Rhinolophus ferrumequinum: one gene and its partners. The protein of the gene in region 1 purifies or fractionates together with the protein of each later gene. This does not show direct contact. Links are inferred from orthologs where the notes say so. Each region holds a gene or a part of one and is shown in the gene's direction. Other genes may lie near its edges.

Evidence for each region.
Region 2: the proteins of SMURF1 (region 1) and STK38 purify together in Homo sapiens (affinity purification with western blotting; 3 studies listed by BioGRID, with this or other methods). This does not show direct contact. The link is inferred for Rhinolophus ferrumequinum from reciprocal best matches to the Homo sapiens genes SMURF1 and STK38.
Region 3: the proteins of SMURF1 (region 1) and SMAD6 purify together in Homo sapiens (affinity purification with western blotting; 4 studies listed by BioGRID). This does not show direct contact. The link is inferred for Rhinolophus ferrumequinum from reciprocal best matches to the Homo sapiens genes SMURF1 and SMAD6.

Annotation. Positions count from the first base shown.
Region 1 is NC_046307.1:6,351,053-6,361,000, reverse strand, and holds the start of SMURF1 (E3 ubiquitin-protein ligase SMURF1), read left to right. Parts: upstream 1-5,055; 5' UTR 5,056-5,122; coding exon 5,123-5,177; intron 5,178-9,948. UniProt on the Homo sapiens protein: E3 ubiquitin-protein ligase that acts as a negative regulator of BMP signaling pathway. Mediates ubiquitination and degradation of SMAD1 and SMAD5, 2 receptor-regulated SMADs specific for the BMP pathway.
Region 2 is NC_046286.1:6,427,589-6,438,207, reverse strand, and holds the start of STK38 (serine/threonine-protein kinase 38), read left to right. Parts: upstream 1-6,308; 5' UTR 6,309-6,592; intron 6,593-10,619. UniProt on the Homo sapiens protein: Serine/threonine-protein kinase that acts as a negative regulator of MAP3K1/2 signaling. Converts MAP3K2 from its phosphorylated form to its non-phosphorylated form and inhibits autophosphorylation of MAP3K2.
Region 3 is NC_046289.1:44,340,381-44,350,766, reverse strand, and holds the start of SMAD6 (mothers against decapentaplegic homolog 6), read left to right. Parts: upstream 1-5,602; 5' UTR 5,603-6,752; coding exon 6,753-7,566; intron 7,567-10,386. UniProt on the Homo sapiens protein: Transforming growth factor-beta superfamily receptors signaling occurs through the Smad family of intracellular mediators. SMAD6 is an inhibitory Smad (i-Smad) that negatively regulates signaling downstream of type I transforming growth factor-beta.

The DNA of each region.
Region 1 (9,948 bases):
AAATGGGAAACTTATGTTCACATAAAACCTGTACACGAGTGTTCATAGTAGTTTGTTTGTAATGGCCAAAAATGAGTTAGCCCACGTGTCTTTCAAAGGGTGAATGGTTAAGCAAACTGTGATACATCCATACTATGGAATACTACTCAGTAATAAAAAGGAACAAACTCTCGATACATGTAACAACTTGGATGTTGAACTTGATGCAAGTAACAACTTGGATGATGAACTTGATACATGTAACAACTTGGATGATGAACTATTTGATATATATATAACAACTTGATGAACTTGATACATGTAACAACTTGGATGAATCTCCAGGGAATTACTCTGAGTGAGAAAACCTATCCCAAAAGATTACATTTTGTATGATTCCACCCATGTAACATTTTTTAACTGACAACATTTTAGAAATGGAGGACAGATTAGTGGTTGCCAGGTGTTGGGAGTGGGGCAAAAGGTGTGTTTATAAACATGATGGATCATCGTGTTGGAACTGTTCAGTATTTTGAGTGTGGTGGTGGATACTTCAACCTACACAGGTGTTAAGACTATAGAACTTAACACACATACCAGTACAAGTAAAACTGGGAAAATCTGAATTTTGTTGGATTGTATCAATGTCTGTATCCTAGTTGTGATACTATACAACGACTTTGCAGATTTTTACTATGGGGGGAACCGGGCGAAGTGTCCGAGGCTCCCTCTGTATTATTTTTTACAACTTGCACCTGAATCTACAATTATCTCAATAAAAATTTCAATTAAAAAACTCAAGTAATAAACCATACCAATGGTCATAGTATAGTAAGACTTGCATAGTGGTAATATTAAGTTTAGGTTGTAATTTAGAGGAAGATCCTGAAGTCTTCTGGGCATAAAAGAATAAATAAATGTGCTAATTAATCACAATTTTGTACATCCAATGGTTTGAAAAACTTGATGTTCAGGTGAAAAGCAAAAGAAGACGAGACCTAGATCTAGAAAAGACCTTAAAGGCTAACGTGATCTAGCCACTGGTCCCAGAGGCACCAGCTCAGGAACAACAATGTGCTCTCAAGAGGCATTTGTCAGCCATCCCCCCCCCCCCCCCCCCCCGCCAGGGACCTTCTGCACAACACCCCAAACAGATTTCCCCAGGGTCACAGCACCAGCAGGTTTCTGAGCAAAGACACACATTTTACATGTACTAACAGCTACCATTTACTGAGTGCCTGATGTAATAGACTGCTATATCTACATTCATGGTTTAATTTAAATCCATGGTTTCAGTTAAACGAAAGATTTAAATTAAATCCATGATTTATTTTAACTTGAGTTGAGAGGCATTATCTCCATTTTACGGATGAACAAAGTAAGGCTTGGAGAATTTAATTAACTTGCTCTGGCAATATGATGGAGCCAGGGTAGTATGGGTCTGTGTGGGTGACAGCTGCCCTCCTTTCAGCATACCCGTTGCTTTCAAAAGGGGCTACAACTGTGCTGGCTCCTAAACAAATACACTCAGGACATTCCCAGTGTAATTTGCTTGATCATTTCCTTTAGATTAGAACTTCTTAACCTAGGGGCTATGAGACCTTATGAGAGCCACAAGTTTCAGGAAATCATGTACGCACTGAAATCAGATACAAAATTTGGTGTGCATTTGCACATACGAGTTTTTCTGGGGAAAAGGTCCATTGTTTCCATCAGATTCTCCCGAGAGGTTTGGGACTCAAAAAACAGGTTAAGAATGACTGCAGTCAGATCCAAAGAGAGATTTTTTTTTTCACTGGAAAATGTTTCAAATGCCCAATAGCACTGACTCAGGGAAGTGATACATCTGGGGGAAATAAAATCAGCTGCCAAATTCTACATAGAAAGCAGGGTCAAAACTGCTCTTTTGTAAGGTCATTACAAAAAGGATACTTGAAGACACTCACTGAACTTCATCTCTGTCTCAGAATTGTTTGACATTTCCCAACTATTTGTTCCAGCTATCTTTAGAAGATAGTGTTTTCGATAAACGTGATGCAGGATGAGAGGATATCGAGGTACACCTTAAGTTCAATATACGGGCTGGCCCACAGCCTTAGCACAAAATCGTGCCTGATGATTGTTAAGTGGGCAAATATCTTTCATCATCTACCAATTTTTAATGGAGTGGGGTGTAAAGATGGAAGATAAAGCAGCTGCGTGACCGTGCTTACACTGAAATCCATTCATTTTCTTGCCTTTGCACAAGCTCTTCCATCTGTCTACAATGCCCTTCCCCACTTCTTTGCCCAAGAAACTGAAACACTGCCTTTAAGCCCTACATCAGGACTTCCATGATTCTTCTAAGATCTCCCCCATTTCTCTGATCCCAAGCAGACTTGTCCTGTAATCTACATTCTAGCTCTCTGTTCGCATTTCCATCATTGTGTGGTTGTCAGTTGTTTTCGTGTTTCACCCAGTCAGCTGAGCCTCTGAAATGCTATAGCTGTGACTTATTTGTGTTCCTTGCCCCTAGCCACATAATGGGTGGCCCGTGTTTGCTAATGAATAAAACATTAGCTTCCATTTAGGAAGGTGCTGCTTGTGTAGGCTGTGTTGAAAGACACTGTTAGGTGTATCTAGTTAAGTGACAATTTCTTATTAATGAGTAAACTAAATAACTTTTAGTAACTTCCACAAGTGACCTCCAGACTTGGGTGTTGAGGAAACAATCAAGCAAAGGAAGGTCCAGACGTCTAGGCAGGTAAGAAAACAGGTTAATAAATGAAAGGTTTTTTGGTCAGGAAAACAGCTGGGGATCAGAAGAATGGCCATAGAGATGTTTAGTCTGGTTTAGAAAAAAGAGACTAATTGAGTATGGGGAAAATGAAGACGGAGAAATACTGACTGGATGAAAGAGGAATGGGGATTACTTGGATCGTTAGAGACTAAATGGATTTTTTCTGACCCCGAGACTCACTCTCAGAGAAACAGAGCTGGATTCTGTATCTACTGCCCTGTTACTTAAACATAGCTTGTATTCTTGGATATTCCACTGGAATCATTGACAGTTTGAGCTGCAGTGGGGCAGAGAAATGACATAGGCCCGTCCTTCTATTTGATGAAGCTCAAAGAACCCTGGAGTCCAACCCAGGAGACTGCTTTCAGAGCTCAGGCAGAGGCAGACGTGTCAAGGGGCTCTAGGGAGAGGGCTCTACTTTGGACTGTGACTTCAGAAAAGGCCCAAGGCTGCAGGGGATGGCAGCCATGGCTCAGATCATGGTTTCCTTAGGACACAAACCAAATAAATGCATTCAAAGAGTTAGGTAGTTGGTCAAAAAACGAGTTTTGGGGAACAGCCCAGTGGCTCAGGTGGTTAGAGCTCCATGCTCCTAACTCCGAAGGCTGCCGGTTCGAGTCCCACATGGGCCAGTGGGCTCTCAACCACAAGGTTGCCAGTTCAATTCCTCGCGTCCAGCAAGGGATGGTGGGCTCTGCCCCCTGCAACTAAGGTTGAACACGGCACCTTGAGCTGAGCAGCCGCTGAATTCCCGGATGGTTCAGTTGGTTGGAGTGCGTCCTCTTAACCACAAGGTTGCTAGTTTGATTCCTCAACTCTCGCAAGGGATGGTGGGCTGCGCCCCCTGCAACTAGCAACAGCAACTGGACCTGGAGTTGAGCTGTGCCCTCCACAACTAAGACTGAAAGGACAACAACTTGAAGCTGAATGGCACCCTCCACAACTAAGACTGAAAGGACAACTTGACTTGGAAAAAAGTCCTGGAAGTACACACTGTTCCCCAATAAAGTCCTGTTCGCCTTCCCCAATTAAAAAAAAAAAAATGAGTTTGGTAAACTAACCCAGCTTTTCCGAAGAGCAAATTATTTCCCCTCTATAACAGGTTAAGAGAGGACTTGGTTTGTTGGAGAAAGCATCACGAACTTTCTAGTTCTACCCGGCAACTCTGGGAATGGAAATGTGAGCAGAAGGCAGGGAAACACAGGCTGTACAGCTGCTGTTTTGTTTGGTTAAATTCTATGCAGACTGGATAATAACAAACATCTCCCTCTCCACTTTATCCTTCTTTCGAATCTTGCACACTTTGTCCAAATGTGGCATTTCCTGTGATTCTGGCAACTTTGTTACAGGTCAATACAGAGCACTTGTACCAAACACATTTAGAGGACTTTGTCTCTTTGAGAAGTCACTCCCTTGAAATTGCATTATCTAAAAGCCCAAAATAAAATAAAATAAAATGAACTAAAATAAAATAAAACAAAACAGAGGGAGAGAAAATATTGCCTATTTGTAGAAGGTGCTTGGTGTAGTAACAGGCCACGGGTTCATGTAACCATCACTTCAATAACGATCAGGAGCGCGGAGCCTTGAGTCAGAAACCTGGAAAATCAATTCGGTTCTCTGAACCTCAGCGTCCGCATCTGCAAGTAGGTTTCCTCCCAGACTGTGTCGAAAACCGAAGGCGACCGTATGCGGGCCGCGCCGTCCCGCCCGCCCGCCTCGGGGCAACCCTGGCGCTGACTGCCAGCGGCCTCGTCTCCGCAACCCCGCAGCCCATTGCACCGGCCTCGGCTGCAGGGTTCCGGGGCGCGCTCCGACTCCGGGCCCCGACCGCCTCCTCGGGATCCCAGCGAAGTGGCCTCCGGCCTGGGGGGTGCAGGAAGCAGAGACCACAGGTTCCAGACCCCGCGCGCCCGAGGCTGGGCGGGCAATGCAGCCGCGCGGCGCGCCCCGCCTCTCCCGCGGGGACGCGCACGCACGCAGGCGCGGGGGCGCACGGCTCGGGCGCGCGCGCGGGGCCGGGCCGGCACGACGGCGGGAGCGCGCGCGGCTCCGGGAGGCGGCGGCGGCGGCGGAAGCGGCGAGGGCGGCGAGCGTCCGGCTCTGAGGTGGTGGAGGCGGCGGCTCCGGACTAGACTGGTCTGGGAGCAAGCGAGGGTCGGGGCGCCGGGTGGAGCGCCGATCCTCCGGCTCGACCATCCGCCCGCCGCCCGGACGCCTGGGCTGCGGAGTTTGTGTCCCGGCTCGGACCCCGGCGCCCAGCCCGGAGCCGTAACCTTGAGGAGGCGGCGGCGGCGGGGCTGGGCCGGGCCGGGCCGGGGGGCGGCGGCGCTGGATCCGCGGCTGCACGATCGTTGGCGGGAGATGTCGAACCCTGGGACGCGCAGGAACGGCTCCAGCATCAAGATCCGTCTGACAGGTACGGCGGGTGGGAGGCCCACACTGCCCCCCGCAGCGCCCACTGGCACCCCGCACGGCCCGGAATTTCCCGCGGAGCGCCCTGCTTAAGTGGCCCTCCCCCACGCCGGCCGTTGTCCCAGGACCTCATCACCCCCCTGGGCGAGTGCCCCTCGATTCTCCCTCCGGCCCCGCCCCCTCGCTTCTCCCCGGCCCCGCCCCCTCGGTTTTCATAGCCCCCCCCATCCGTCCTCTCGCTTCCCTCCTCCCTCCCACCTGCCCCCTCGCTGCTCCCCTCCATCCTCCTCGTTCTCCACCTTTTCCTCCCCCGTGTCCCCTTGCTTCTCCCCTCCTGACTCCTCCCCTCGCTTTCTTTCCTCTCCCCTCACCTGCCCCCTCGCTTTTCCCTCCTGGCCCCGCCCCTCTCTTCTCACCACCTTCCCATCCTCTCTGGCTTCCCGGTCTCTCCCCAGACCATCCCCCTCGCTTCTCCCTCCTGCCCGCTCCCACTTGTCACTCCTTTCCCATCCTCTCTCTTGGTTTCCCCTCTACCCTGTTGCCCCCTTGCTTCTCCCCTCCTGGCCCCGCCCCTTTCTTCTCCCCTAGTTTCGCCCCCTCACTTTCCTCCTGAACTCCGCCCCTCATTTTCTCCCTAGCCCCGCCCTCGCCTATCTCCCAGCCCCGCCCCCTTGCTTCTGTCTCGGGGCCTCCACCCTTTCCTTCAGCCTCGAATTCCTCAATCCTATCTTGTAGCTTCTCCCGGGTCTCTGCTCGCTTCCCCTCTGGTTCAGACCGTTTCAGTCTAGTCCACTTCCTTTCTCACCCTGGCCAGGCCACTATCTACTCTTGACTGTGCTTCTTGCATGCTTTCCTTTTCTGCATTGCACTTTACCATCGCCCCCCGCCCCCCATCCTTAAGCCTGGATTGGGCGTTGATTCCCCACACCCCCCACACACTGGAGGCTATGGTAGGTAGCTGCTCTAGCGCAGGCTCCTTGATTCACTCTCATTTAGTCTCAATGAAATGTGGGTGCCTTCTAGGTGGCTCTGTAGTGCCACCTTCAAGGGTGAGCGCGAAGCTCTGCTGTGGGCCTGCGACGTGGTGGTTTGGATGTGTGTAGGTGCCAGCGGTGTCTGGTGGAGGTGCCCCTCGCCAGCGGGCTCCAGAGGCCCTGGACCCGTCTGCACCCTCATCTGCCCTTTCTCTCTCTCTCTCTTCAGCATTATGGGGCGGCTGCTCGTCTCCCAGTTTCAATTCATAGCTGAGGCCAGATTGTCGTGTTGCAAATACTGTTCTACTGGGGGACTTTCCAAACGCGAATATTTCCAGCTCTGAAAAGGAAATAAAAAGTTCAGGCTAATCCCTGTAAGGGGTTTTCCCCAGGATTTTTCTGTTCAGTGGCAGTCTGGTGAGGACTCCAAAATCAGATCCCCTCTCAAAGAGACAGTGAGCGTTTTGGACACCTCATGGCAGATGCATAGCCCTAAATCATCAGTAAAATCCGTGAAAACAGCAATGGGTGATTCTTTTCTAACTAAAATTTCCTTTGAAAGTCCATAGTTGTTGCATGATCCATCTTTTGTTTCAAGAGGAGGGTTATAATTTGTTTTAGGTATATATAAAGATGTCAGATCAGGTTAAGATCAGATAATATAAGCGGATCAGATGATTCAGACCCAAAACCAGATCCTGGTTTTGGAAAGTAACAGGCCTATCCCATGGATCTTTACTTTTAGAGAAACATAACCCTTTATTCTGGTAGGAAACACTTCTCATTTTATAGATGCATATACATTGTTATTTTTATGGTTACATAAAAGCCACATTTTTAACTTTGCAATGCTTGTAAAACTTTAATTACTGACAACTTTAATTTGGCTTTCATTTACAAAGTAACCTATAATTGACATCGGATTTGTTTCAATTTTCTTGTTAAAAGCAAAAGTAACTGATTTTGTGAGTTTTGGTGGAAATGTGATTAATGTATTAGAAGGAATAGATTTTAATTACAATGTTTGTGTCAGGTGTATATGTATTAATCCTAATAGTCAGGTCTGGATAGGGCTTTTCCTCATGAAAGGGAAGACTTGGTTTGTTCTCTCAGATTATTTTTGGATTCAGGAATTTATATGTCATAGATGTAGAAATTCTTTAAAGAGTTTTAATGTCACTTGGTAGTGAAGGATCAGGTGATGAGTGTTCTTTCCGAAACACCTTTCCCTTTCTCCCACCTAATGTTATTGGTGATAAGAGAGGATCTGTGAGTATGGTCATCCCTGCAATAGAACTGAGAGTTTAGGGATGACTGCCGACACGCGTGATGCCAGTTGTCTGTTAATTTACGTGGAAACGTTGGAGCTCGATATTTTGTTGAAGACAGGCTAGGTTTTGGCTTCATCTTTATGTTGCCAGGGGGAGTTTGAAATATCTTCTTCACTTCTGGCAAGTTGGATGGACATCTTTCAAAAGTCGTATACTTTTGTTGTTACAGGTTTCAGAGTCTATTTCCACGTGTGATACTTGAACAAATGACGTGTAGAAATGAGAGCTATTCTAGCTAGTGAATAGCACACAGCGTAATTCAATGCAAAATATGAGGATATTAGAGTTAGAGCATTTAGAACTTTCGGGTCTAGAGTTGTATTTGGTGGTAAGTAGAACGTTGGATTGAGAATCAATTTTGGTCCGATCTGCCATAAACTGCATAATATGGAACAACTTATATAACCTTTCTGAGTCTCAGTTTCCTCATGTAAAATGAGATTTCAGCTCCTTTTATAGCATTCTTTAATTCTCCTCACAGGATCTATCAATTTGGCTTATTCCAAATTACTGTTGGGTGCTTGTACTTTCTATTAGGGCTCGATCCTGATATTCAGAAATTTGTGTTAAAACACAGGAGTCATGTTTGATGCCAAGCATTACTTTTGTGTATTGATTACATTTATGATTTCTTTTTTTTTTCCTTCCTGTGGAACCCCGTTGTTTTTTTTTTAAAAAAAATATGCTGAACTGCTTTGGAAACCTGGCCTAAACAAAAGAATATTTGAGTCTTTATATGTAAAAGAATATAATTTTAATGAACGTCTGTGGTTTTTTAGCAGGATAATAGTTCGTAAAGTTTTCGGTAGGTTTGGGGGCATAATATGTTTAAAGTCGAGTGATCTTTATTAAAGAGCATTATCTTGCAGACATTTTAGAGTTCACTGGCAAATCAAACACTTGGGAAACATTTTCATTTTAAATTCAAGCAGGATTTGCAAAAACTTTGTTCTTATGAGGTACACAAATGAATCCCAGATATGTTATTTAGGCCACTTTGGGTAAAAGAATGGAATTTTGAGCTCTAAGTGTTCCACAGTGCTCTTCAAATTAAATTTTATTCTAATGTTAACCAGTTAGTTGAAACACCAAATGACTAAACTTTTTTGTGCTTTTATGCCTTGAAATACTCTCAGACCTCCTTGTGTTTTTATATGTTTTGGAGCATGACTATGTATTGTGAAGAGAGAAGAATTCTAATTCCAAGTGGGGGGTGGGGTGGGAAGAGACCTTCCGTGGTAGCATTTGGGAATGGAGGCTGTTTTTAAAGTTGTAGCACATATGATGTGAGGCTGACTTGTGTTCTGACATTCAGATGATGCAACTTGGAGAGAAATAGTCGTAGTAATAACTGTTAATAAGTTTCATTGATCAGTAACAGGTGACCTAATTGATTCAAAATAGTTATGTTTCTCTTAAAAAAGATAAATCTATTAAGAGTGTTGCCTTTGTCAGTTTCTCCTAGTAAAGAACCTCCCTATGTAAGGCAGGAGAAACTTTTACCAACTAACTCAGATAAGATGGAGTTTCATGTGCTACGCATGAGTTTGTGTGTTTTCCTCAGGGTTGGCCTCAAGTTTATGAGGTACTGTCGAGACACTTCTTTGAGCTGAATTATCTAAGGATGTGGGATGGGTTCAATCAAATACTACTACAAAACTTAAACTACAATTATACTTTAAAAGGAGTCATATACTGCCAAATACAGGTTCTATTATTGATTTCATTTGTGATTTGATCACATTTGTGTTGTCTTTAGAAAACCCTTTTTTAAAAATCCATTTTCATTCTTTTTACTTTTCTTGACTCACCTAACAGATTTGAGAAATGAAATATATACTTTACTTCTGTCTGTATTTTTACGGTAGTTCTAATTTATCAAATTACAATTTTTAACTTCAAGTCTATTTATTTGTCAAAGTTCAAAACTCCTATTTTTGCGACCATCAGAGTGGTGTCTGGACTTCGAGGTTTTCCTTCTCTTACAAATTTTCATTTTTTCTGTTTGGTCATCTTGTCAGGTTCTATCTAGTGTGGAACATCGGGTAACCCAGGGAGGTTCTGGGGGCTGAGTTACTTCTTCAAAATGTATTTCCTCATGAATAATAATAATAAAAGACTCACCCATAATATTTCAACATCAGCTCAATGATCCAGTTAACTAGGCTGGTTGTTGTGTAACACATTTGTGGGCACTGGTTAAAAGTTAAAATAGCTGACTTGTGCATTTTAGTGAGTGCTGAAAGGGACGTTCAAAAGACCTTCCGAAATGGATGAAATAATTTGGTATTTTCTAGTTGAGAAACCCTAACTTTTAGGATTCTTATTTGGATCAAATTTCAAAACCATTTTAGAGGTTAAATATTTTTCAACAAATAGAGAATGAAAAAAATGTGTGTTTTGAGGTCACTGAACAACTTAAATTACTGGTTTGCTTGTTGTAGATGAATTTTATTGAGAGAAACCCCAA
Region 2 (10,619 bases), on another chromosome or scaffold:
TTATGAATATGGAACACTTTGGTGTGTCTTATTACCTCTATTAGGAACAAATAAGATTCGCATGCTTCCATTTTCAGGGAACATATGAGATCAGCTCTCAGCTGGCAGTTAGGACAGTCCTGGGGCCTCTGCAAATATGGGAAGATTTAGCACATTCCTAAGGGAGCCTGAGAGTCTTGTGATTCATACAGCTCTCCATCCCACCAGCAGAAGGAAAGCCAGCCTTTCGGCAGTGGGGGCCTCAGAAACTCCCTTGTCTTACAGGAAGGTTCCCATCCAAGCACAGAGACGTCAGTGGACGTCTCATCCTTTTCACTTCTGGCTTTCAGATTTAGCTTTGCTTTGGGGAATTTTTTGTCATTCTTTTTGTCATTCTGCTTTACAGAAAATACAGTTCTCTTTTTCTCCTTGCTCCATAAGGTTTGTATAGTTTCCTCCCTCTTAATATTTTCACTCCCAAACAGGTAGGTGGGAAAAGCTGATGCATGATTTGGGTGCTAGATCTGCCATACTTCACATCCTTCATTAGTTTCTGAGATTTTCTCCCTTCAATTCCCAAAGAAACACTGACTCATCATGACACACTGCCCCCCCTACACACAAACACAGAGTCATTTGGAAAAAATTAATTTAAAATCTGTATTTCTTAAGACGTCTCTATTACTTTGGCCCTATCATTAAGCATTCAAAGAAAATAAAAATCTCTAAGCAGGCAAAACCATATGATAAGAACCCTCATTGTACAATGTGTTGTCATATCTGTAAGTCTGAAACCAAGGAACAATATGAAAAGCTGTCTTTCCATTCAGTACTTTCTTTACTTTGAGGTTTTCAGGTTTGTAGCCTAAGCATTAGGATAAAAATGATCAGATAGCTGTTGCAGACCTGGCTAATTATTCTAATGCTTCCCTGAAAGACTGGTGCTGCAAATAAATTCTCCTTCTCCCGGCCAGGCATGGTTATTGGCAGTCACCCTAGAGCATGTACTCTCTGAGTTCTGCACTCTCCATCCTGCTCTCCTAGGAGTGTGGGAAAGAAATGGAGTTGAGAAGGCAGCTGTATGGGGGTGGAGAAGGTACCCACTGACTCCCGTTCACTTTGTCTACCCCAGCACAATTCCCTGACAGGTTGTCTTTATTCACCTGGAAAATATTTACTGAAAGCTATGATTGATATTTAAAGGGAGGGCTATGAAATTAAGTGGGAAGGGGACACTAAAGAAAAAAAACCATGGAGAAGAGAAATTTCTTAGAAGGATGAAGAGTGTGATGGTTAATTTTATATGTCAACTGGGCTAGGCTATGGTGCCCAGTTTGGTTAAACACTAGTCTAGATGTTGTGGTAAAGGTATATTTTAGATGTGATTAACATTTACAATCACTTGACTTTAAATTGACTTACAATCACTTGACTTTTATAATGTGGGTGGGCCTCATCTAATCAGTTGAAGGCCTTAAGAGCAAAGGCTGAGGTTTCCCAAGGAAGAAGGAATTCTGCCTCAAGACGGCAACACAGAAATTGCCTGAGTTTCCAGGCTGCCAGCCTGCTTTACAAATTTTGGACTTGCCAGCCTCCACAATCGTGTGAGCCAGTTCCTTAAAATAAATCAGTTTTTTTCTCTCTCTCACCCTCTGTCCATATCTGTATCTCCTATCGGTTCTGTTTCTTTGGAGAACCCTAACAAATACAGAGGGCTCCAGAAAAGATGACCCTGGAAAAAAACATGGAGACTGTGAGTTTGACCATAATCTGAGAAAAGTTTTCCAGTTTTGGCATAAAGCTTGCAGAGAAATCAGTGATAGATATTTTCAAACAAAACTATGCAAGGGAAGAAAAACCAAAGGAATTGTGAACTACAGGAAAAACAAAACAAATGGTACAAGAAGACAGTAATTTTTCTGCCCCACTTGGCTTAGTTGTAAACACTGAATACTGATTTAAGGAGAAAGGTGGTCATAGAAGTTATGTGGAAGTTGTGGTGTGAGTTAAATCCTCATCTTCATTGAGGAAATTAAAAAATATCTAAAACCGAACATTTAAGAAGTAGCAATGTCATTTAGAAACAAGAAGGTAAATGGCAGAAGAAAGAACTAAAAGCATTGAAAGCAGCTGCTTCAGCTGAGTGAATCCGGTGGGATGGGTGGGGCAAAGCAGTGCTGTTTATCATTGTTAAGTCTTGTAGATGGTTTGGTCTTTCTCAAATCCATACGTGTATTACTTTGATAACAAATCACAAAATTCAAAGTTATGTGGGTTCAATGTGGAAAATGTGGAAAGTACAGAAAAGTATAAAGAAGAAAATAAGAACCATTCATAATTCTTCCACTAAGAGAAAGCAATTTATGCACATTTTAGAGGAACAGGAATTAAATGAACTTATTGAGATTAAAGTGTCAGAGTTCGAGGATTTAAAAAAAGCATAACTTAGATATAAAGGGATAAATAATAAGAGTACAATACTGTGCATGTAATATGGTAGGTATAATCACTTATAACATGATCATATACAATAGGATCTCATATGCGTTTATGGGTATATCAGAACATAGTCTGGAGGCATAACCGACCAAAATGTTACTTGGTATTAAGACCAAGGTAGGCACTAGGAGGGGAAAGTGAGGTGCCTGGGATGCACAGTGTGAGGCACTCACTGTCAAGAGCAGGGGCTGCACTTGAGCTCCAGTGCCTCCTTCAATTTTGTGCCCTAGGTGCCTCACTTGCCTTACCAGAGTCTCGTGCTGGTAGGGACCCAGGGCTGCTGGATCGAGGGCACTTTCTCCTTCTTATTTTACACTTAGAAATATGTTCCAGTCCCTTGCTACTCCAAGTGTGGTACGTGGACCAGCAAGCAGAATTAGCATCACCTGGGAGCTTGTTTGATATGTATAATCTCAGCTCTATCCAGACCTTTTGGATCAGAATCTGTATTTTTAACTGAATTCCAGGGAAATTGTGTGCACGTTAAAGTCTGAGAAGCACTGGGGTAGCAGACACCAAACTCAGTTCCCAGCCTCTTATGGAAGGAATATTCAGAGACAACTGATGTCATTGCCCCAGTAGGTGGGACACATACTGCCTGTCCTTTAGAGGGTTGTGGTCTTTGCTGATAGACTGAGCTTCAGCTGGCGAAGCAGTCAAAGGTCAGCATGATGGAGGAGAAGCAAGCGATTCCCTTGGGACAAAGAACACTTTGGGGCAATGTTTAAAGAGAAGGGAAAGGCTAGTGGGTCTGAAACTGGGGAAAAGAGCAAGACAAAAAGGTGCTAATATTGAAATCAAGGAACTCAAGTCCCATGGGGGAAGAATAACTTAGTATACTATAAAAAAGTTTTGTTTTTTTTCCCCAAGAGATTTTAGAGAAATCTGCTATAACACTGAGAAGCTTGGATTAGGTGAATTATATTACAATTATATGATGGCAGAGAAAATATAGGGTGAGGTGAGCAAGACACTCACCTCCTTGACTTCCTCCACTCATAAAAGGGTTAACAAACTTATCTGGCCAAGTGTGACCATATAGGTTGGCAATACAGAAATATAAGGGAATTGACTCTGTTCAGTGTTCCCATTAACCAGAAGTCAATTAATAACGGTCCTGCTACATGTCAATTCTCCATTTAGATTAGCAAGTTAGATGAAAAGAGAACAGCAAAGTAATGTATACTACGATGTCAAACGTTATTGGCTGGACAACCCAATATTCATTCTCAACCCCTTTCTTTCTTGTCTGCCTTCATTACAGAGCATAAAAGCTGAGTACTTGCTTTCCCAGGAAGGGTGGCCATGTGATGCAATTCTGGTCATTGAGACCTCTGTGGAGGTCTTTAGCGACTACTATATGGAATATCCACCACTCTCTCCAGAAAGGATTCAGAGTGGGTTTCCAGGGCCTGAAGTAGGTAGGTTGAGGAGAGCTGGAAACTTGCCCTGGTACAAGATTTATGAAGGCGGCAAATAACTCAGTAATAAAGGTGATATTTTAATGCAATATTTAAAAAAATAAAAATAAAAAAAACACGATGATGAACAAAATATCAACACTTAAAATAAAGGCAGGATCTGACAACACCAGTACTAGAGTGAAGCCAAATGAGTTCAAGTCCTACAAGTGTATGGTCAGGTCTTAGGCTTCAACTCACAGTCTGGGGTGGGTGAAAGTGATTGGTGGCACTTAGGTTTTATGCCCACTCTCCAGGTGCGAGGGAGTCAAGGCGAGAACATACCTGGAATTTTCAGTTTTGTAGTGAGAAGTAGGAAACACATGAAAGGGATTCAGGTGGTCAAAAAGAATGACAAATGTCCACTATACTTATTGGAATCATGGTAAAATGACATTGTTTGGGTCCATGCAGAGAGCAGCATGTTCTGCCTGGGCTATTTTGAGAAAGACTTTAGTAGTTATTAATTAGAATGGGGGTACAGATAAATGAATATAGGAATATAGAAAGCAGAGAACGAAATCTCTTTCCTGAAACTGGGAAGGCTCCAAGGAGAAGATAAGGTTTGACTTGGGCTTTAGAGGAAGGAAAAGGGAAAGCAGAAAGAAAATTGCATTTGCAGTCAGAAAATGGGGTTCTCTGCTTTGCTACTTAAATTACTACCTGTGAGAATTCAGGCACATCACTTTGGTTCCTTCATCTGTAAAACCTCATCCTAAATTGAACAGAGAAAAACAAATACTGTATGATTTCACTTACATGTGGAATCTAAAAAACAAAACAAATGAACAAACCCGTAGATACAGAGCACAAACTGATGGTTGCTAGAGTGGAAGGGGGTGGGGATTGGGCAAAAAGGTGAAAGGGGTTAAGAAGTTCAACCTGCCAGTTATAAAATAAGTCATGGGACTGTAATGTACAGCATAGGGAATATAGTCAATAATATTGTAAAAACTAGGGGGATAGTTACTAGACTTACTGTAGTATCACTTTGAAGGTATATAAATGTCCAACCACAATGTTGTACACCTGAAACTAACATGTCAAGTATAATTTTAAAATAAATTATAAAAATTAAATGGGGAAAAAAATAACCTAAAAAACCCCACCTCATCCTAGTACGTAACCTGCTAGAGCTGAGAGGATCAACTGAGATAAAAATGAGTGAAGGCGGTTTGTAAGGTGCAAAGCACTATGCAAACATCTCGCACTGTTATGACGTCCTTAAGGTTGGCTAGGACTTCAACAAAAGGCATTGGGGGAGAAGGGCCTCTGGACAGACAGAATGAACGGTGAAGTAGTTTTTGTATGAGGCTCAGACAAAGTAAACTGGGCTTTGAAGTGTAGAAAGATGAAAGCAGTCAAGGAAGGCCTATGTTTTCAAGACCATTAAGGAAACAAAGCCTGGGACCCCCAAGCTTGAAGGATAAAACCAAGACCTATGGTCTTACAAACAGTTACACAAGAGAGAGAGGCACCTTAATATCACAAAACAGCCTAATGAACGACTTGCACACCTGCTTCTTCCGCTCTCTAGCTGGCCACTTTGAAGGCAGGCAGGGTCTATCTTTGTTTCCAGGAGCCCGACGCTTTCTGGTCAAGGGCACTGTGCTCCTTTCTCGAGGAATGAGTGACTGCCCAAAGGCTAGTAAACTTGGGACCTCTTTATCCCAAGGGATGGTACAGACTGAGGGGTTGGGAAGCGGTGAAAAGCAGGTTCATCTGTGCACACTAGAACGCTCACCCAGTGGCCCATGTCCAAACCTAGGAGACCTCGCCAGATCCCAATGTAAGGCATGTTAATCATTACTTAAAGGAAGAGTAGATGGGGCCAAGGGCTCCAGCCGACCTAGCGCTCCAAAGTTTGAAAATCAAGGGAGGGGCGGAGGACGACGACTACAAAAATTGTAAAATTTCACAGAACTACAGTTGAGAGCGGGCACGCGCTCATATACAGGCACAAATGAGTGTATGCTGAACTGGATAAATCCGAGTAAGGGCTGTAATCTAGTTAATTGCATCGGTCTAGTTAATTGCCCTGTGCCAATGTCAGTTTCCTGGTGTCGATAATGTAGTATAGTTATGTAAGATGTTGAGGGAAGTTGGGTCGGTGATGGGTATACGGGACCTCTTCGTACTAATTTGGCAACTTTTTGTGAGTATGTAATTATTTCAAAACAAAAAGCAAAAAGCACAAAACACAAAGGGAACTCCTGCAGCCCAGCCCACTCCGGGACCGCCCCACACCCCACATTTCTGCCCTCACCTCTCAGCTCTGGTAAAACCCGGAGGAGTGGAGGGAGGTGGGGCGCAGCCGCGCACGCGCAGTCCCGAAGTCCCCGCCGCGTCTCCGGGAAGTCACGCTTGCGCAGTCTCGGCCCCGGGCCGCCGCGCCAGTCCCTCTCCGCCGCGGGGAACACGGCTGCCTTGGCCCCTCCGCGCTGCCGTCTTTTCCGGCAGTTGGGACTCTTCCTGTTGTCCTCACCCGCAACCGCCCCTCGTCCCTACCTCAGAACCCCTCACCCGTCCCCTCCTCTCGTCTGGCCGGTCGGCTGCTGCCGCTGGGGCTTCGCCTGTCCGCACGTTGAGACCGCTGGCCCGGCCGGCGTCTGCGGCTGTCCGCCGCCCCCTGCCCTGCCTCCCTCGGGGGTCTGGTGAGTGTCCTGCTGCCTTCAGTCCATCCCGGGCTTTTCCCTTCATCTCCGCTGCCCCCGACTCTTTGGGGACTCTCTCCTTCCCGACTGCGCCCTCTTTCTAGCCCTGCCTCTCGGTCCCTCAGCCGCTCTCTTCAGCTTTCTGACAGCCCCCCTCCTCCCGGTCTCCTCGTCGGTGCTCTCCATAGTCTGTCAGCCCCAGGCCCCCCACCCCGTCCTTTCTCTTTCTTCGTGTGCAGTTGGGGTGGGGAGCCAGGCTCTCTCCTTTGCGTGTTGCCAGCTTTGTCTGCCCTCTGCCTCCAGTCAGTCCCCTTCTGGATCCCGCTCCTTTCCAATTTTCACCTCCTTTTCTTTTTTTCTGGGGTCTAAGAACCTGAGAGCTGTTGTGTGAGGCAGAGATGTCGAAAGCCCACCTTGGGGTGTGGTAACTTTGAGTCTGCTACCTTCCCCATGGGTAGTCTTAGGGTGCTGGGCTTCAGATAACTTAAAATCACAGGAAAATATAGTGAAGACCCCCAACCCCCCCTTTTTGTGAAGAAGAGAGTGGAAAAAGAAAGTCACTAAGGACTTAGAGGAAAGTCTGGGTCAGAAAGTGTGCAGAAGGCTGGTGGAGATATCAGATCTCCCAGTTGCACTTTGAATTGACTAAAAGACACAAAGAGAAACTTCTTTGTGAAGTGTGCAGAGGGAGGTTGGCGTGGCGGAGACCCGGTGCTTCCCGTCCCTTTCAGCTCACCTTGGTTCTGAGTTAGAATTAGCCAGGCAGTAGATGTGGTTGCCCTGAACATCAAACCACCGCAGTAACAGGCTCCCACCCCAAACATTAGCCATTACCTTCCTCAGAGGAGGAGAACGCTGCCCTGCAGCCCCGTATAGAAAACCATTCCATGTCCCAAGCGTGTCCCCATCACACATACATATTCTGAACTCCTAGTAATGGTCATACACAATGAGTGTTTTCCTTGTAAACCTTTTATAAGGTGCTCGCTAATCGCCTAGCCTTGTGCATGAGATGGGGAAGGATATAACAAGGAGTCTAAGACAAGGTGCTTGCTTTCCAGTGGCTTACAGTTTAATAGAAGAAATTAGATAGGTGACTCTGAAGGAAAAGTCTTAGCCCCACTGTTGCATTGTCCAAATGAAAGATAATTAGATTGTCAGTCACAAAGAAAGAAATAAAGAATTGGTGAGAGAGGGGGTATTTATAGAGATAACACAGTACCATTGTAAAATCAGCCAACCAGGCACAACTATGTAGATTAAATAAAACAATGGTTTTCATTTGATCTCCTTTTATGATTGCTGTACCCACCCGTGACTTATTAGGATCACATTCTTTCGTTAAATTTTTTAAACTTTTAAAAATTTCTCACCTACCTAGTATTCCCTAGTTCTGCAGAGATGGAGGATGAAACCAACAGGACCAGGGCTTCCGATGGCCTGTAGGTCAGGGCACGAAGGCTTGAATGATCAAAAACATGAGGGAAAGCCCTGTCTTATAAAAAAGTGCTTGGTTGGCCCAGTAAGGAAATTGCTATATGGCAGGAGTAATTGTATCTTTTGATGAAAGGTTATTAGAATTAGGCTAACTGTTTTATGAGTGAAGGAAGAGGTGGAGGAGGAAGTTTTGAAGAAAGGTTAAAAGGGAAGGCCAGCGCAACCTTTGCCTTACATTAGAGACTGTGTGTGAGGGCTGAAAACCATTGTGCTAGACAATTGGTTGGCCTACTGTATGAGCATCTTTGAGTGCACTGAATTGCCTGTTGTTGATCTTTTTAAAAGTTGAGTAAGTCATGCCAGTGACTCAAATGGGTCAAACTTCCTCCCCCCCAGTTTTATATAGCCATCAATGTAAATGTAATTTTGTTCTTTTAGCTTTATTGGCAACTGAAAAATCATTAACTTGCTCAACTTACGTTTATTAACCGCCTATTCTACAGAAGGTACTGTTTGTCTCAGGCTTAAACTCTCTCTAGTTGTTGTATTTTTAAGTGGAAGTGATTTAAGTTGTTAAAATATATAAAGGGTCTCCAGAAATTTTCAGACAAGGGAGGAGTACAAAGTGCTCACTTGCTTCAGAGTTGTTTTTAAATCTGGTTTTAAAATTTCTTCACTAACCTTCGAGTGCATGTGGTTTTCATTGTGGGTGGAGGGGTAAGGGCTGACAAATAAGGAACCACACCCAAGCTTTATAAACCAAACAGAGGGGTTTGTGGTTTTTTTTTTTTTTTTTAATTCTGATATCCTAAAAACACTTGCGTTTGTTTTGGTATTAGCAGAAACTTTCCATAAAAAATAGCATTTTATAGTAAGGTAGAGCTGAATTAAATGTCTTGAATTTGTGATTACTGATCATTTTGGCACATCATAAATCAAAATGTTTGACTCTGAAGTAGAGCCTTGATTTTGAATCTCTGCTCTGAAAGGATTATTCTTTGTGTTTTTCGCTGAGTACCACTTTATAAATTTGTTTAATGTTAAGTCGTTTTATTAGTAACAAATGTTTGCACATTGCTTAAAAGTCTTAGTTTAATTTATAAAACAAAAAAGGTGAGATATATTAAGGGGAGAACCTTCAGAAAACTTCATAAAATGCACTGTCTTTGAAAATGGATCTTGGCCTCTCCTGAGTTTTACTCAGCTTTATTTTGGGATGAAAAGACAGACTTAGAGGAAGGTTGCGTGGAAGGAAGGCATGACAGGATAAAATATTGAGCCTTGTTGCCAGTGCTGGAGCAAGTCAAGTGCTGGTGAGCCATCTGGCAAACTGTCACAATATAGGTTGGCAAAAATTTCTGGGGAAAGTGAGATTTAAATTTAGGAAAAAATGTTCTATAAGCTATTTAAAGCTTCTCGGTATCGGTTTTCTCATCTGTAAAACTAGACAGTTAAGGTCCCTTATTTTTAAGGTATCTTCCATCATTAAAATTATGATTCAGGTTTTTTTTTTTGTAATATTGTTTCCATCATAGGTCCTTATTTTGACTTGTAGATTCAAATAGACAGTGAACATTTATCAAATACCATAAGACATATCAGAGTATATATATACATATAGATGTACATTTGAGTCATAGAATTTTTTTAAACTGTAGAAATTGTAAATTTAAAAGTTATTGGTAACTTAATGGTAATAGTACACGCCCATTGAATAAAATATAGAAAAAGTGGAAAGCATAAACAAGAATAAAATGATCTATTGTATTTTTACTGCCTAGAGTTAAGACGCTAATAACATTTTTATGTATGTATTTCTAATAATTCTGTGCACGTGTAGTAAACACACAAATAAAATTTAGCTCATGGTATACGTTCTGTTTTGTAACCTGTTCTTTTCACTTGGGTTGGAAACATTTCCCCTGACATTAGACATTTGAACAAATTTTCATTGTCTGCATATAATTCATTATAAGACTTTTCCATAACGAGTTCTGTTGTGCATATTCAAGTTATTTCTAGTTTTCCTTTGTTTACAGTGCTGCATTGAAGCCTCTTGTGTATGAATCCTTATAGGTCCAGAGGAGATTTCTAGATGGCAAAGAATTATACTGTGTCTATATTATGTAGTCTTAATTTCCACATATGGTATTGTGATCATGTTTTCTTCCTTTTAAAACATACAACACTGTTTTAAAGATATATTCATGTCACTTTTAGGTACAGGTAGATTTGCTCCTGACTGCTGCATGGTATTTCTTTGTATGCATTCACAGCATTTTTATTTATTTTCTTACTGAATTGCCTCCAACTTCTCATAACACAAATGATGGCATGATGAACATCCTCTGTAATGCACATCCTTCTGCATGTCCCCTTAAGAGTCTGTGTGACAGTTACTCTAGGCCTTTTACCTAAGGATGGGATTTCGGAGTCATAGTACATTAATATATACTTATTTTCACCAAGTATTCTGTTTATCTGGCATTTGTTAAATATTACTTGTTTATCCTCCGGAAGAGTTGTACCAATTTACATTCCTACCAGTAGGGTAGGGGCACACGTAATTGGTGTATTCTAACTCCAAAAC
Region 3 (10,386 bases), on another chromosome or scaffold:
CAAGTAGGTCCATTTTATAGATGAGGAAACTGAATCTCCTAGGGAGTGAGTAGTTGGCAGGGTTGGTTCAGTGGCTCAACCTGATAATGATTGGCTCCATGTTCATTTCACTAATAGCTACCATTTACCGAGAACTTATTAGATGCCAGGCACTGTGCTAAGCATTTTAATCTTCAAAACAACCTCCCAGTATTATTATTACCAGTTAAGTCTCGGGCTCCCCATCTGTAATCTATAAACTGGGAATAATAATAGCACAGTATTGGGGGTTATTGCAGGAGGTGAAGAGAGTTGTCCAAGACCACAGAGGTAAAAGATGGCTGTGCAGGATTTGAATCCAGGTCTGTTGGGTTCAACAAAGTAATGGTTCTAAAGTAATGGTTAAGAACTATTACTTTGTACTGTCCAAGCACAGGCTGCATGGAGCAGCAATAGTAAAACCAGCAGTGGATTTAGAGAGGCTGTGGTAATGGGCCCCATAATTATAGACAGGACCAGGAAAATCATTCTCTCTGAGGGAAAGTAGTAAAAAGCCAATAAATAAACAAACAAAAATGCCTAAAAGTGGGTGAGGTTAGGAATTGGTTAAACCAGTGTTCTCAACATTGCATGTATCCTGGTAGTTCCCAGGATAATTTCAGGTCATTCACAGATAAACATATTTTATGTATTTGTTTTAAAGTGATAAATATAACTAGGACATTCGTGACTTCATGGATATTACAGCTTATGATAGGGCTAAATACAAGTGAATTGATTTTAAAAATGAATAAGCGTTGATAACATGTGTACACTGTTCAGACGTTCTCTCACTCTCTTAGATATGTAACAGCAAATCATGCTGGTTCTAGCTTCAAATATGTCCAGGAACTGGCCAATTCTCCCCAAACCAGTATGACCTCTCCTTGGATCACAGCACCAGGCCCCTTGCCACCCTGCCCCCTACAGTTTATTCTCCACAGGACCGCTAGAGGGAGCCAGCTAAAGCAAGGCAGATCATGCTCCACTCGGAACCTCCGATCTCCTGGCTCACTCAGAGGACAAGCCAAAGACCCAACAATGGCCGGTGTCAGCCTACAGGCTGCCTCCAGTATTTCTCCCATCTCCTTTCCTCTTCAATGGTACTGGAACACGCCAGGCACGGTCCCGCCTCAAGATCCTTGCTCTTGCTGTTCTCTGTGTCTGGAACATTCTTCTCCCAGATGGTGTCATAGCAGTTCCCCCACCACCATCAAGTCCTTGCTCAGATATCATGTTCTCTGGGGAGCCTTCTTCGGCTACTTTCTTTGAACCACCTATACCCTCTCTTGGCATTCCTCTCTCCTCTTCTCTGCTTTGTTTTTGATCTTGGCACCTTTACCTTCCAAAACACCGTATAGCTGATTGTTTATGGTCTGTCTGTCCTCCCACGAGACTCCTTGAGCTCAGGAATGTTTGTGTTTTACTTACTGTAGGATCCCTAGCACCTAGAACACGGCCTGGCAACCCATTAGGAGCTCAGTAAGCATGTGTCGAATGAATGAACACAAATTTCCATTCATGCACATGTGCATTTTTCAAGAGAGGTGTTCATAGCATTCATCAAAGCCTCAGAGGGGTTGTCTACCACCCAAGGGTATCCCAACTCCTCCATTTGGGGACATGTTGGCCAAGTAGATTTACCTTCCTAAAGGGCAGACAATACCACTTAGCCAGTTGGGCTAAGTTTTAAGTTATTCTCCTTAAAAATTAGTAAATAGGACCTTGGTTTATCCATCAGTTTCCTGTGAAGTGGGTTAGGATGAATTAGTCTCCATCTGACTTTAGGAGAGGTGGCCCAAACTCCCTCTGTGACCTTCTGTTCAGAAGCAGTGGCCCCTGGAGCCTACCCCTTCCACCACCAAGAAGCAAGCTCTGCCTTATGTGATTTGTTTCATGCCTTGTGTCTTCCTAGCTAATGTGGAAACTTCCCAAGGGCAAAGGACCATGTTTTCTTTTCTAGGACCAGGTGTTAAGAGGATGGACACTTACCTCAAGCAGCCCTGGGTTCAAGTCCCAACTCTGCCACCTATTGGCTGTGTGACCAGAGACAAATTATTGAATGTCTTGGTTGCTTTCCTTCTGTAAAAGAACTAGGCCGGATAAGAATAACTTCTTATGTTGTTCGGGGGATTTGATGAGATAGTGCATATAAGTGTTTGGTACCAGATGATGGTGAGCATGGAGCTTGGTGAAGTGAGGGATTACAGTTCAACCACATGACAAATATTTATTGAGCACCCACTGTGTGACGTGCATTGTGCTAGGGAGACTGGGGAGGAGAAATGGGGCAGGCGCTGTCCTGTGCAAATTAGCTTCTTTGAAGGCATGGACAGAATGGCATCAAATGGCCTGCTTCTGACTCCACTCCCTCCACGCTGCTGTGTGGCCTGTGCCTGATAGTTTCACTATCTCTACCCACGTTGGGCTTACATTCCAGAGGCAGAGGAGAACCACAAGGAATTGTACAGTTACAAACTGTGAGGAGTGCTGTCAAGGGGAAATGCAGGGTGCTTTGGGGGAAATTGGAATAATGGGGAGGGGTTAGATTTGAATCTGAGAGGTTAGACTTACTTCTTTGCTTCTACACCCCCAAGAAACTGGAGCTTGTTTTCCAGGGGCTGTAGCTCCACGGCCCTGCCCTGCTGGGCCCCACCGCACACACCCTCTTGTGGTCACAGTGCAGGTTGGTACTAGGCTGCATGGGCCCTGGGAATCCAAGGACAGTGGGAATGACTGTCACCACCCTTCCCTTCTTGATACTATCTCCCCTCAGAAGAAGTCTTCCCATAAGGAGGGATGACTCTGGGTCCTCATGTCCCAATTTTGGCAACCACCTCAAGCATGATTCCTACTCCCATTTCACAGATGAGAACCCCGAGGCTTACAGAGCTGAGAAAGGTTAAGTAGGGTCAGTGTGGAACTCAGGCCTAGCAGACTCTGGATTTACTGCTCTTCAGGTTCATCCAAATAGCCCCTAATGGCACCCCACCCCCAATACCACATCTCTCAATGAGCAAGAGCTGAAGCCAAACTTGGTCCAAATTACTGCTCAGGAAAGAAGGCAGTCCTCCTAGGATGCTTCAGTCTCTCCTAGGCCTGAGGCCCCAACAGAGGCCAGGCATCTCTCACAGCGCTCCCCAGGAACGCTGCAGAAAAGGATGCCATTGTACCTCAGAGAGGTTTGGGGGGGATGGAAGGGAAAGAGCCACGGTTCACACAGTTGCCCCCAGGAGTAGGTGCTGAGCATTAGTAGAAGCCCTGTGGGGTAATCTGTCTCCTGCCTGCTGGCCCATTAGGAAAGCAAAGGGAATGGGACAGGTAAGGGGCATGCATGTGTATTTAACATACATACCCCTTACCCCAGCCATTACTGGCTGGGTTCAAATTCCACCTCTGCCACTAAACAAGTTTGTGGAAGTTACTTAATGTCTCTGTGCCTCAGTGTCCTTATCTGTAAATTTGTGGTAACAACCATACCTCCTACCCCCAAAGTGCTGTTCTATGGAGTCCCGGGCCTCCCCTCAATATTCTTTGATACAGCAAGCCCAATGGGCCCCAGTTTGAAAATAGCTGCTCTGAAGGCTGTGCTTTAGCTACGCAGACCCACACTCCACTTTCTGGCCGCTGGGGGTGAGAGCCCATACTGGTTTATGCCCCTTGGGTTTTAACATTTCAGCACTTTCAATACCGTCATTTCAATGGCAAATTGAAAGGCAAGATCCTGTGCCTCAGTTTCCTCATCTGTAAAATGGAGGTAATACCTATCTGGGTTGTTGTGAGAACTAAATGACTAAATCTTTGTAATGCTTGGAACATTGCCTTGCCCATAGTAAGGACTCAGTACCATGAACTATTATTGTAATCCACAGCCAAACCAGCAAATACCCTGATAAAAGAAAATACAGTACATTGAATTTCTCCTTGTATTTTAAGATGCATTAATTTCCCTGGGGGCGAGAAGTGACTAAAAGAGGCCACAAGAGAGGAGGCTTCTGGGGTGCAGGTCACGTCGTCTTCTGGGTACTGGTTACACAGGTGTGTGTTCACTTGTGAAAATCCATCCTGCCGATCACTTGGGATTTGCCCTCTTAAAATGCACTCTCTCCCAGGATCTATATGGGTCTGTGAACAACGCAGGGCAGGCATCATCATTCCCATTTTCAAACACAAAACTGAGCCAAAGACAACTATTTTGATTTAGCCAAAGTAGTAGGGGATGAGGGTGGGGAAGCCTCTCAGCTCAATCTTCCATTCGGGAGAGCAACTGCCTCCCCCAGAGAGCGCAGCACCAGCACTACCTGGCTCCAGGTAAAGCTCAAATGGTTCCGAATCCTTCCTGCAAATACTGCCCTTCCCCCAGCGCACACAGACTCAGGGCCGGGGACTCGCACCGCCGCACACTCGGAAGGCCATGCCCACACGTGGGCACCCCGAGGAAGACCCGCTCGCCCGAGCCCCTGCGGCCCCGGTGGGGGAATGGCGCCCAGCCCCGGGCCAATCGGAGTAGCGGAATTTCTTTCATTCAGCAAGGGGCCGAACTCCGGCTCCTGCCCGGAAAGGGGCGGGGCGCCGTGCCGGGGGCGGGACCGCCGCGCGCAGGGGAGAGGGCGGTGCCCGCCCCGTGGCCCCGCCAATCGGCGCCGCGCCCGGGGGGGAAGGGGGGACCGGGCCTTTTTTCCCTCCGCGCGGGACCAATCCGGACTTTACAAGCTTGAACTTTTGCCACCCTCGGATGAGCGAGCGCGCCCGAGGAGGTACCCCGCCGCGCCGGCTCCAGGGCCTGGACCGGCCTTAACCCTTCCCGCGCCGGACGGCCTGCTGCTACCGCCGCGCCCCCCAGCTCGTCCCACACCCGGAGGGACCCCGTCCCCAAGCCTACCCCTATTTCCGTTGCGAAACGTGGCTGGGGAAAGCACGACCCCCTACCCACATTCCTTTCCGTGGTTCAGAGAATAAATTGGGGAAGGGGGAAGAGGAAGCAACAGCCTGAGGGGGCCCGGGACGGCTGGCGGCCCGCCTGGCTCCGAGGGAGGGCTGTGGCGACTAAGCAGCCGGAGAGGAGACACTCCCCGCCTCTACCCCACCCTCTGTAACTCCCTACCTGGGGCAAGCCTGGAGTCCCCGTGCGCGAAGCGTCCCACGCCCTGGGTTTGGCCCAGCAGAGCCACCCCTGACTTTGCGCAGGGGATGTGGAGACCTCGTGCCATCACGGAAGATCCCGCTACCCCAACAAACCAGCTGCCCCCTGCTCCCAAGAGACGCAAGCTAGGAAGGCTCACACGCGCACCCATTTTTATTAGCCTTCCTTGCGATGGGGGTTTGGACCGATCTAAAATGCAATGTGTGTTTCTAAGTTTGTGCCCCGGCCAGAGAGAGGCAAGACTCGGTTTGCGTCCGAGTCTCAGTGGGTCCGGTGGACCCTTGCACCGCGCGCCCCTGGTTCGTGTAACCGTGTGTTGTGTGTGTGCGCGCGCGCGTGTGCTCGCTCGCATCTGTGCCCGCGGCGCAACGCGAGCCGGAGAGCGGGTTGTGGGCGCTGTCAGGTCCCGGGAGGGGGTGCCGAGGCGAGCGCAGGGCGGGAGCCAGGGCTCGGCCCGCCCCGGGAGCCGGCCCCTCGGAGCCGCGGGCCTTGCAATGGGACGTGTTCTCCTTTAAGAGTTAAGAAACTTGAAACCTTGTTTGCGCAACAATCAGCGCCGCGGAGCCGCCAAAGTGTCTAGACTGGCATATGATGGGAGGCAGCCAATGACTCCGCGGCGCTCCTCCGGGGGCCCTCAGTGTGCGTTTGAGGAGAACAAAAAAGAGAGAGAGAGAGCCGAGCGGGGGAGCGAGCGAGGGAGCCGAGCAGAGAGAAAGAGCCGCCGGGCGCTGCCTCGCCAGACCTCGCCGGGACCGCGGGGCCACCGGGAGGCACTTTTTGTGAAGGGGGAGGGGGGCGACCTCTGCAGCCGCGGCGCCCTGGGCGTCCGAGCGCAGCGTGGGGAGGGCTGTGACCTCTACCTTGGTGGATTGCATTTTTAATTAAGGATTCCCAGCGGCTCTTTGGGATTTTTACAGTTTCCACTCATGTGTTGTCACCCGCGTTCGGGAGAAACTCGCTCCAAGTGCATCTAGCGCCTGAGACCTGAGACGGAGTTGGCCTTTCGTGCATGCAATTGCAGGGATTTTGGTTTTGTTTGGGGTTTCTTTTTTTCTTTTTTCTTTTTTATTTTCCAGGGAGTAAGGAAGCTGGGGATATCAACAAGCTTGTCTTTCGGATCCTGCAGGAAAAGTCCATGTAGTTAAGCGCTTGGGTTTTACAGGCAGGGCTTTCCAGACACATTTGGGGGGTTCGGCGCGAGCGCTTTGTGCTCATGGGCCAGCCGCGCAACTTTTGAAGGGTCGCCGGCCCATGCGGGGACTTGCTGGCGGCGCGTCGCCCGCGGTACCCCTCAAGCGCTGGGGCTGGAGTTGCTGAGTAGCCCGGCCGCCGGGGTCCATGTAGCCGCTGGCCGGGCGCGGACTGTGGCTCGGCGTGCGAGTGTTCCCCGCCGGCCCGCCCCGGCGAGCTCCCTCATGTTGCAGCCCTGCGGCGCCCCTTCGACGATAGGCTGTGCGCGGTCTGCACGGCGCCCGGCGGCGGAGCTTCATGTGGGGCTGCGGCCCGCGCAGCCGGCGCCTCGCTGAAGGAACTGACCCCCGGTAACCGGAGACCGCCTCCCCCCCCCACCCCCGGCGCCAAAGGATATCGTATGTTCAGGTCCAAACGCTCGGGGCTGGTGCGGCGACTTTGGCGAAGTCGTGTGGTCCCTGACCGGGAGGAAGGCAGCGGCAGCGGCGGCGGCGGCGACGAGGATGGGAGCTTGGGCAGCCGAGCTGAGCCGGCCCCGCGGGCACGAGAAGGCGGAGGCTGCGGCCGCTCCGAAGTCCGCCCGGTAGCCCCGCGGCGGCCCCGGGACACAGTGGGACAGCGAGGCGCCCAGGGCGCGGGGAGGCGCCGGCGTGCAGGGGGCCCCCCGAGGCCCATGTCGGAGCCAGGGGCCGGCGCTGGGGGCTCCCCGCTGGACGTGGCGGAGCCGGGAGGCCCGGGCTGGCTGCCGGAAAGTGACTGCGAGACTGTGACTTGCTGTCTCTTCTCGGAGCGGGACGCCGCAGGCGCACCCCAGGACGCCGGCGACCCCCTGGCGGAGGCGGCCCTAGAGCCGGCGGGCAGCGGGCGGAGTCGCGAAGCCCGCTCGCGGCTGCTTCTGCTGGAGCAGGAACTCAAGACGGTCACGTACTCGCTGCTGAAGCGGCTCAAGGAGCGCTCGCTGGACACGCTGTTGGAGGCGGTGGAGTCCCGCGGTGGCGTGCCGGGCGGCTGCGTGCTGGTGCCGCGCGCCGACCTCCGCCTGGGCGGCCAGCCCGCCCCGCCGCAGCTGCTGCTCGGCCGCCTGTTCCGCTGGCCAGACCTGCAGCACGCTGTGGAGCTGAAGCCCCTGTGCGGCTGCCACAGCTTCGCCGCCGCCGCCGACGGCCCTACCGTGTGCTGCAACCCCTACCACTTCAGCCGGCTCTGCGGGCCAGGTGAGCGCGCCGCGCCTGGCGGGGCGCGGGGGGCGGGGGGCTTGGGGGTCTACCTCCAGCCCCATTCCGTGGCCTTCTTTTTATCCCAGACACTTAACTAGGGCTGGTGGAACACTGCGGGTGCCCTGGAGGCTGGGAGCCTCACCCTGGTCCTGCCAGGGAGTGGGGATGTGGGCACATACGTCAAATGGCAACTTCATCAAGGCTCTGGCAAACTTAAAAAGCTACATGGTTGAGTTTTCTCTGTGCAGTTTCAGGGACGGAACGTAGGCTCCAACTTCATAAACAGTGAATGGGAAGGGCAGGCTTAGGAGAAGCCGAAGACTTGTGTGTCCCCCCCATTAACCCCCAGTCTGTGCCCAGGCCTGTAGCATTTGTGTGCATATGCCTGTATCTATGTGATACTTTACTATATCCAAGTAGATGTAAGTTGTGAAATTGGGTGGAAACAATCCATGGCTAGAGTCAAAGTGTTTGTAAATCGTTCCTCTTGTTTCTTTGTATATTTGGAGCAAAGCTTTTGCAGGGTAACCCCTCTCAAAGTGGAGACCACCCTCTTGCCCTGATTGCGCCCAGCATCCCTTGAGTGTCAAATGCCAGGGCCTTCCATCATCATCATTCTCAATTCTGTGTCCAGCTTTTGTATAGTTGAGGGTTCTGGGGGCATCTGTGAGTAGGTGAGGAAGCCAGGTATTTTATTACATCTGAGAACTACTCCCCTTCTTTGTTCTCTTCCTGGGACTTCCTGCACCCCACCCCCAGCCCTGCTTACCTGAGGATGCCCTGGGTTCTGAAGAAGAGGTGAGGACAGGTGGAGGTTCCTGGCAGGCCAGAAGCTTGCAGGAAACACATTTTAGCCTGTAGCATCTTCAGGGTGTAGCATCTTAGATGACACTGGGGATTCTACAGGGGTATGACAGAGAGTTATAGGCTGCTGGTGTGGGAGGGCTCGGAATTTCTCCAGTGTGGCCCCACTAGAGAGAATCAGCACCCGGCGTGGGGGTCCATAGAGGGTCAGATCACAGGTCTGACTCGCAACGTGGAAGTGGAGGGCGGGCCTAGGAGTGTGTGTGGGGTGGTGGCTGCAGTGCCAAGGAAGGTGTCTGTGGTGGGTCACGGTTGGGGGCTGGTGGGAGAGGCAGCTTTGATCCGCCTGCACTCTCCCCGCATAGTTACTCCAGGCTGGATTCAGGAGATTTTGGCAGTTCCTGATCAGTGATGAGCTTTCTGTGCCTCTTGCATCTCTTCCTGACAGTGGTTTCCTCCCTTCTGCCAGCCACCCTTTCTCCTTTCTGCCTCTGTGGAAGGAGGCCCGACGTGTGTCTGTAACAGGGTCTCACACACAGGAGCTTGTTGCTGTAACCTGGAGCAAGGCTTTGGAGGGTGGGTGCTGAGTAGCAGAGGCCACCTGGGAGTCAAGGTGCCAGGGGAACTCAGACATGTGAGTGGGAAGGGGTGGAGTGAAAAAGTTGAAGACCACAGACAGGACCCACTTTTGCCAAGGATGGGTGGGGTCCCTGCTCCTTGGATGAGACATCAGCTTGGGTGTTGGTTTGAGTTTCTTACACTTGGGCAGGTACAATTTGAGGAGCAAACAACAGTGTGATGGTGCTTAACCACAGACTTGGTTCTAGGCTCTGCCTGGCCAGTAACACAACTTGACCTTGGACAAGTAACCTCCCTTCTTAGTCTCCCTACTATCAGTGGCGGTGGCTCCAAGAACATTCTTCATGTCTAATTCTAGATAAAGCATTGGCCCTTGACTCCCTTCCTGCTCCCAGAAGGAGGTGCTATTGCAGGGGCTGTGTCTGTTCTCCCTCTTTGCTAGCCCAGGGGACCCCCTTTCAGGTGAGCCTGGGGGCTGTTGGGAGGACTGACACTCTGGGAAGTTTCCAGTAGGCTCCAGATTGACCCTCTTGCTTCATTCCCCTGCCTGAGGGTTTGGGCCGTGGGGACTGGGACTGAGAACTGGGGGAGCCCTTTGCTGCCCACCCCACCCCTGCTGCCTGGCTGCCAGCCTGGCTCCCGGAGCTGGGCGGGTACATAGCTGGAGCTCAGCCGTGCGAGTCTTGATAAGGAGACTGCTCCTTCCAGGGCTCTGGGGGAGAGGGCTGGCGCTCTGGGGTAGGCAGGCAGGCAGGCAGACAGACAGACAGACAGACACACACACACAGATAGAGTCCACTGGAACCCCCAGAAAGCTAACTGAGGGACACTCACCTGGCACCAGTCACCCAGTGCCCCCTGACCTCAGTGGGAGCCCCAGTGACAGGAGGCCCCTTTCTGGGCCGGGCAGACCCTGTCTGCTCAGAGTAAACCCTGCTTCATCGATGACTTGTTTTGGGGTATTGGGGCCAGTTCCCCTCTTTGGGCCCCTTTCCCCATCTGTAAAGGGGAGGGAGTGGACAGAATCCCTGAGGTCTTCCGGGCAGATTCCAGATTAGCAGGCCTGCCTCCCCTACCCTGCCCTCTCTCTCATGCTTGTCTCAGAAGTGAGGTCGTCCCGCTGTGCCCAGCGCTGCCTCCCACCCCGTGTGGGAGTCCGGCCCTGGGGCTCCCTCCCTCTGGTGTGTCTTTCTGTCCCAGGAAAAGCCAGTTCGCTGAGCTCGGTGCCTATGTGGACGGAAATGTGGAGAAATACTTTAATCACAGTTCTAACCTGTGTTTATAGAGCTCCTTTCTCCTGAAAGTATCCATTAACTTTGGAATAAATCTCCTGCTCTTTGCTTTACCACTTTTTTTTTTCTGTAATTATATTCAGTAAATTACTATTATCCAAATTGCGCCAGGGAAAGAGACAGAGTGAGAGAGAACTTCTAA